Linked DNA regions of Callithrix jacchus. The protein of the gene in region 1 interacts with the protein of each later gene in a biochemical or structural test. Links are inferred from orthologs where the notes say so. Each region holds a gene or a part of one and is shown in the gene's direction. Other genes may lie near its edges.

Region 1 (2,999 bases):
CCAACCTCAAGTCTGTGAAGAAGGAAGACACAGAGAAGGTGAGGCCCCTTTCCCCAGAACCTTCCACACCCCACCTTGCCAGTTTTCCCCTTGTCAGACCCTCACCCAGCCTCAGCCAGGCCCAGGAGCTCCTGCTAGAGGCCAGTCAGCTTGACAGAACATTCTAGAACCCTTTGGGAGACCAGTGTAGGAAGAAAAAAGAAAGACTTGCTCCCTTCCTTCAGGCTGCCCCCAGTCTGATGAAGAAATGGGACACCAAGAAAGCTAGACCCCAGACAGAGAAATGAAGTAAAAACCTTGTCCAATGTGAAGAGAACGTGGAGATTTAGGGTAATGGTGGAGACAACTCCCAGGTCACCACAGGGAAGGGAGACAGCAGCTTATACACAAGCACAGATATTAGAGTACTGAGCTCAACCACCCAGCAGCAAATTACTCAGTTTGGTTGAACTCACGGTATATGTGCTCCAAACTGATAGGCTCTGTAAGAAACAGGGATGACAGGAACACAGTCTCCAAGAAGCTTCAGAGGAGAAGACGTGAGCCGGGCAGTGTACTGAGGGAGTGGGAAGGCCGCCACCTTAGCAGGGAAGGCTTCTCGGAAGAGGTTGCCTTGAGCCTGCAGACTGCCAGACCAGGAGGGTGGCGTGGGGCCTTGGAGGAGTTTTCCCTGAGGTGCACCGAGGTGGGAACTGGCCCCGTAGCTGCCACTATCACCCAGTGCTCCCAAGCCACACAGCTGCCCTTTTCCTGTGGGGCCTCAGCTTGGCCCACGTCCACCTGCCTGGCAGAGTCCTAGGACCTTACCAGCTGGGGAGGGGTGTCAGGATTTCTTATCATCCGAGGAGAGTGGTTTTCTATGACCCAGCTTCTCTTGAGCTGTGGGGCTGTCCAGCCTGGTAAGTCCCTGCTGTGTCATCCACAGGAGCGGCCTGTGGAGGTGGGTGACTGGAGGAAGAATGTGGAGGCCATGTCTGGGATGGAAGGCCGGAAGAAGATGTTTGATGCTGCCAAGTCTCCAACCTCACAATAGAGGTACCTAGAGACCAGCTCCCTTCTCTGGGGTCCAGCAGAGTCTAGAGGATAATGTCGGAGTCTGCAGTCAGCAGGCGGGTTGTACCCAGTGTGGTGCAGGGGGGAAGGCACCGATGAGACTGATGAGGGCCAGCTAGCTGGGCTCAGTCCTGGCTCCAGCACCGTGATACCTTGGGCATGTCATTTCTGTTTGGGGGTGCTATTTGTTCCCCACGTCTATGAAATTGGGGGCTGTATCAAATCAGTGGTTCTCCAAGTGTGGTCCTGGGACCAGCAGCATCTTTACCACCTGGGATGCAAATGATCAGCCCCCACCCCAGATCCACTAAATTGGAAACTCTGGGGTGAGGCCAGCCTTCTAGGTGACTGTGATGCACACGAGAGTTTGAGAACCACTAGATTAGAGGATCCTTGGGGTCCCTCCTTCTCTGACTTTCTGAAAATCTATGCTCTTTTAAACATCTCCTGGTGATGTCCTTTATTTGTGCTCCCTGCAAAGTACCCAGCAGTCACAGTACCTGTTCCCAAGGAGCTACCACTCAGAGAAGCTAAGGCTTCTCACCCCCTGAGGAAATAGCTGGGAAAACTGAGCAAAGCAAGGAAATTAGGCCACATGAAGCCCTCTATGGAAGTGCTGAGACAACGTGCAATAGGGCAGGCATCCACCAGATAGCATTGGTCAGAGCAGGCGCTCTGGAGAGGAGGAGTCTCTGAGGACGTGATGGGTTAACTGGTAAGGGGAAGGGCACGTCCAAGGGCTGATGGTGCCACAGAAGCATGGAGTTGGGAATTAAGCAGCCACGGCGTAGCATGGTAAGGCCAGGTAAAAGCTGAGGCCACAGTGTGGAGGAGCGGTGTGAGGGGTCCTAAAAGGTGGAGAACTGTGCCCACGGACTGTGCCCACGGACTGAGAAGCTGAGGTTTTGTAGGAGCTCCTACAAATGAAGATCTGGCCAGGGGTGTGCTAGGTGTGAGAAGCCCTGGGACTGCATGTGCTGTAGGTAAGTCAGGGATTCATGCGCTGCACACAGGTCTGCGGGAACTGATGGCTTCGCCTCTCTGTCCCTACAGGCCAGCTTGCTGTGCTGCGCTCTGGGCTCCTGCTTCATGCTTCTTCTCCAACCCAGCTCACTCACCTCTCTGCCCGTGTCCAGAGCATCCTGCCCCACCCCCACTTCTTCCCTCCAGCCTGCATGCCCTCCTCTGGAACTGGGAATTCACAGATACCCAAGAGGCAGGACAAACACGAGTGTCTGAAGACCTCACCCCAGCAGAGTGGGCTTCCATCCACCCATGAGGCACCTGGGGTTTCCTGGCCACCCCATGGTGTCACAAGTGGAGGAAGAGGCGGGAGTGAGAGCAGCTTTCTTCCAGCCCCGTGCCACACCCCTTCTATGACGTGTACAGTGTCCACAGGCATCTCAGCCTCTTCATTAAAAACCCAGTTTCCTGGTCATTTCTGCAGCTCTGACTGAGAGCACTGAGAAGAAAGGGAAGGTGTGGGGCTTGTGAAGAGAGGGCTGCGCTGGGCTCCAGTCACTCTGTCTGCATCTGGAGCTCGGGATCTGAAGGGAGGGCTAAGGAATTGGTGGCTGCTTGCCAGGGTGCCCGGATCCCCTTCTGCCCAGTCCCTGTGACATTACACAGCACACATTAACCACCCAGGGTGCTCAGCTCACCAGAGCCCTGACCTCCGAGAACTGACCCAGTCCTGCCCCTGATTCTGGCCGTCAGGAGAGGCCTGTCTATTCAGAGCTGCTTCTCCTGCCGGGTTTCATGCTCTCCTTCCTCCGCAAACCTGGATTATCTCTCCCTGATGCCTGCTGGCTGTACCTGAAAGTGTTCTGGTCAGAGCACTTTCAATCCCTCACCTGGCCCTGTGGCACAGGGCGGGAGGCCCTGCAGAAGGGATACTTGCAGTTCCAGACATGGCCACCAGGTGACTCCTTCCCTCTGTCCTGGGC
Region 2 (4,281 bases), on another chromosome or scaffold:
TGACAGGCACCGCCCACGGCGCGCGTGCGCAGCGCTTTCTTGCGTAATCTCTACCTGCGTGGGGCCACCAACGGTACCCTGCGCAGCCTGCTAGAAACTGACCTCTCGGGTGGTGACCGCTCTGGGAATCGCCCCTTAGTCTCTCAGGAAGAGAGGACAGAAGGTCCCGAGCCTCCAGGCAACACGAAGCAAGTCACTGCTCCTCCTGGCCTCAGTTTACTCCTCCGGATAAAGGAGGCCATAATGGCGCCTCACTTGGCTGTTGGGCTCTTTCTCTTTAGGGCAAGACGGGCTGGAGGTGGAAATAGAACCTGTGCTTATCGCTGGAGTAGGGCGAGAGTGATTCTGGGCCGGTTCTGAACCTCTCCGAGACTCGGAGAGCTCTTGTCAGTGGGGCTTCTTGACAACGGAGTGGGTTGATTCATGCGGGGCCTGGCATGCAGTAGTGCTGGAAGCAAGGAACGTGTTTATCAAGACGGGGCTCTGTACGAAGGAGGGCGGAGACGGAGGTGGGAGGGGTGTGTGCTGCCAATGGGTACAGGAACCTCACGGGATGGCCTGTCAGAGTTCAAAACAGGAGGGAGACACGTTGACCTGGACCCACGAACTACAGTGCTAGAATAGGGAACTGAGTCCTAAACCAGGGGAAGATGAGACCTAGAAGAGGGAGGTGGTAACCTGACTGGAGGGTGAGGAGGGAGAGAGCCTGGCACAGATGGGGCATCTGTGGGGGTGCTGTTGAATTACAGAACAGCTGACTGAAGCCCGAAGGGGGCACTTCTCCCTGGGCAGATGGAAGGTCTGGGGCAGGCGCCTCTGGCAGAAGGGCTCCTGACTACCCTGCCCTAAGGTGGGTTAGCATCGTCCTCTGAGCTTGGGATTTGAGGCTTATCTTGGCAGGGCCCTGTACTCCCAACCCCCACTTGCACGTTGCACCCCATTCCAGAGAGGCTGAGTTAAAGGCAGGGGCTATCTTGGGCAAGCCACCACTCTTCCAGAGCCTCAGCTTCCTTATCTGGAAGGTAGGGGTCATAGCACCGGCCTCCCTGGTTGGTGGGAGCCTGGGCTGCTGTGTTGCAGGGGCCTTGCCTGGGGCCCACTACTTTGTGGCTCCTGTCCTGCCCTGGGCTCATGCTTTCATTCATTCCAGAAACCTTTTCAGAGTCCCTTGGGGAGTGTGGGGGACAGGAGCGAAAGAAACCTGGTTCTTGTAGCACTTCATCTGCTCCCTGCCTTGGGCAGAGGACGCAGGGACTCAGGCCAGCCTGACATCACTGGGCCCAGAGGAGGGGCTGGAGGATACTACACGCAGGGGTGGGCTGGGCTGGGCTGGCTGGGAATGCAGTGTGGGGGGGGGGGCAGGGCTATTTAAGTCGAGGGCCGGCTGGCAACCCCAGCAGGCTGTCGTGTGACCCACCAGCATGGATGACATCTACAAGGCTGCGGTGAGGGACAGGGCTGGGTAGGGCTGGGTTGGGCAGGCCCACTGGGGGCTCACTCATCTCAGAATGGGGGGCTGGTAGCCCCAAGGAAGCGGTGGGGGCCCAGGAGAGAGTCTCTGTACCTTCAACCCAGGCCCTCACAGGGACAGTGGTTCTGATGTTTGAAGATGCAGAAGGGGTAGGGGCTCAGGGTCTGAAGGGAAGCTGGTGTTTGGAGATGCAGAAGGGGTGGGAGTTGAGGTCTGAAGGGTGGTGGAGGAGGTCGCCACTTTCAGCATCATGTCTCACTCTGTTTCTAAGTGTCTGTAGTCTGTGGCACTGTCTCTCAGCCACATGTCTCTGCATTTGTCTCTGGACATTTTTGCCTTTCTTTTTTCATCTCTCTTCCTCCTAAGTTGTCTCTCTGAGTCCCTATTACTGTCTCCCTGTCCCCAACCTCCATTTCTGCCCCTCACATTCTGCTTCTCACACACTCACAATCTGCCACTCCACTCCAGCCCTTTGGTTGGTCGAAGATGCTTTGGAGGGTGGAGGGTGTGAGGGGAGGGGCCTGAGTCCTGGGCTGGAGATGGGGCTTTGAAGTTCGAGGCAGGGAAGTTTTGGACATGAGGGAGAACCAAGGAAGAAGGGACAGAGAACTGAGGCCCCAGCCCCCATCGTGCCTGGCAGGCTCAGGGCTCAGTGGCTTAGCTGGGGGTGAGAATGAGGGAATGAGGGCTAGAGAGTGGTCACCCCAAGCCCCTGCAGCCTCCTGGGTCACTGAGGGACTTGAGATGCTGTTCCATTCCTGGATGCTGGTGACCTCCCACTACCCCAGAACAAGGACATCCTGGCCTGGGTAGCTGTCCCCAGGGGAACCCCTCCCTCAGCCTCCCTCACTTCTGGGCAGGGAAGGGCTACAGCCAGCTCTGGGGGCATGCCTGCTTATCCTGTGGGAGTCCATGAAGCTGGGGTGGGGGCAGCCCTCCACCCAGTGCCCATACAAGGCCTGGCGGAGCTGGGGACTAATTTTGGCTCCTGAGGCGGCACTAGTAGGACAGGGGGCCAGATAACACTGCCCCACCCCCTGCATGCCAAAGTCCCCAGAACAATCACCAGGTTTAACTTTGTTCCTCGTTAAAAATAGCCCAGTGGCCACCCTGGTCAGGTTACAGTGGGTAGCTTGTCTACCCCCACATTGGTTTATTGTCCCAACTTGAGGGACAGCTGTTCCTTGGGCCACCCAGCTTGAGTTTCATCACGGGCCAAAAGGGTATTGAGTGGTCACTGACTATTGTTACTGAGGGTCACCTTGGCCCTGAAGGGGGTGCCCACCTGTCACACTGGCCCTGAGCCCAGTCTTAGTGAGGCTAGCTGGGGCACATCAGGGCTTTGTGGGGAGGGAGGGAGGACTGAGACCTCTGTTCTGTGGCCTGGAAATAGCTTGCTTTCCCCAGCTGCAGCTCTCACCTGTGGAATGGGTTGGTTTCAGCAGCAGCAGCTATGTGTGAGGCTGAGCCCTGAGAGTCCCTTTCCTTTCTAGGTAGAGCAGCTGACAGAAGAGCAGAAAAATGGTGAGAACCCCTATCACACGTGCGGGAGACCACCAGGGCCAGGTTGGGAGACCAGGCTGGGGAACGTGGGGACCCCTTACCAGAAGAGGAGCACAGACCAGAGACCAAAGGCTAGGTCCCTCTGCTCTGATCTCAGAGAGGTCTCTGAGGGAGGTGGGCAGGTTGGCAGGTGGCCCCAGGAGTCTGGCCCTCTGAGGTCCTGGCTGTTGAGCCCTGGCTATTGTGCCCCCCAACCTCTGTACACAGAATTCAAGGCAGCCTTCGACATCTTCGTGCTGGGCGCTGAGGATGGCTGCATCAGCACCAAGGAGCTGGGCAAGGTGATGAGGATGCTGGGCCAGAACCCCACCCCTGAGGAGCTGCAGGAGATGATCGACGAGGTGGACGAGGATGGTGAGCCCCTCCTCCCCAGGCTCTAGAGGAAGCCCAGCCAGCGTGGGGCTGGGATGCTGGCTCTGCTTAGCCGGAAGTGGTTTAGCCCCTCCGATCCTCAGTTGCTTCATCTAGAAAATGGGCATAATGGCCACAGAAGCCTGGCATTTGCATCCTCACACCAAATGCCAGGCTTCTGTGGCCACTCTTTGGGCTTGAGTCACCTGCAGTTTCCAACCTGGCCTCTGTAACTGCCTCCCAGGCAGTGGCACAGTGGACTTTGATGAGTTCCTGGTCATGATGGTTCGGTGCATGAAGGACGACAGCAAAGGGAAATCTGAGGAGGAGCTGTCTGACCTCTTCCGCATGTTTGACAAGTGAGCACGTGACCCTTGACCCCTGACCTTGACCCTCACTCAAGCCCAGCTGGGGTTAGGAGGGCAGTCTCAGATTCTAGGCCTAGGGACCCTGCAGCCTCTGCTTGATGGGGGAGAGGGATGCCCCATCTCCCAGCGTCCCTGTTCTTCCTAGGGGGCATGGTTGTGGTCCCTCTTGCCCTCCCTGCAGCCCTACCCTGGGCCCCCTCCCCACAGAAACACTGATGGCTACATTGACCTGGAGGAGCTGAAGATGATGCTGCAGGCGACAGGTGAGACCATCACGGAGGACGACATCGAGGAGCTCATGAAGGATGGAGACAAGAACAACGACGGCCGCATCGACTACGACGGTAAGCGGGTGGGTGGGCTGATCCCCTGCCACTGTGCCCTGCCAGCCCCACCCCTGACCCACACCTGCCCCTCTTTCCACAGAGTTCCTGGAGTTCATGAAGGGTGTGGAGTAGATGCCGACCTTCACCCAGAGCTGCCCATGCCCAGCCTTCAACTCCAGCCGAGTCCTGGGGCTGGGGAGCG

Evidence for each region.
Region 2: the proteins of TNNI1 (region 1) and TNNC1 are reported together in a solved structure, tested with the Homo sapiens proteins (2 studies listed by BioGRID, with this or other methods). The link is inferred for Callithrix jacchus from reciprocal best matches to the Homo sapiens genes TNNI1 and TNNC1.

The regions. Positions count from the first base shown.
Region 1 is NC_133520.1:28,425,208-28,428,206, reverse strand, and holds the end of TNNI1 (troponin I, slow skeletal muscle), read left to right. Parts: coding exon 1-38; intron 39-925; coding exon 926-1,033; 3' UTR 1,034-1,035; intron 1,036-2,106; 3' UTR 2,107-2,275; downstream 2,276-2,999. UniProt on the Homo sapiens protein: Troponin I is the inhibitory subunit of troponin, the thin filament regulatory complex which confers calcium-sensitivity to striated muscle actomyosin ATPase activity.
Region 2 is NC_133516.1:34,981,935-34,986,215, reverse strand, and holds the start of TNNC1 (troponin C, slow skeletal and cardiac muscles), read left to right. Parts: upstream 1-1,395; 5' UTR 1,396-1,421; coding exon 1,422-1,445; intron 1,446-2,964; coding exon 2,965-2,995; intron 2,996-3,241; coding exon 3,242-3,388; intron 3,389-3,629; coding exon 3,630-3,744; intron 3,745-3,960; coding exon 3,961-4,097; intron 4,098-4,179; coding exon 4,180-4,211; 3' UTR 4,212-4,281. UniProt on the Homo sapiens protein: Troponin is the central regulatory protein of striated muscle contraction. Tn consists of three components: Tn-I which is the inhibitor of actomyosin ATPase, Tn-T which contains the binding site for tropomyosin and Tn-C.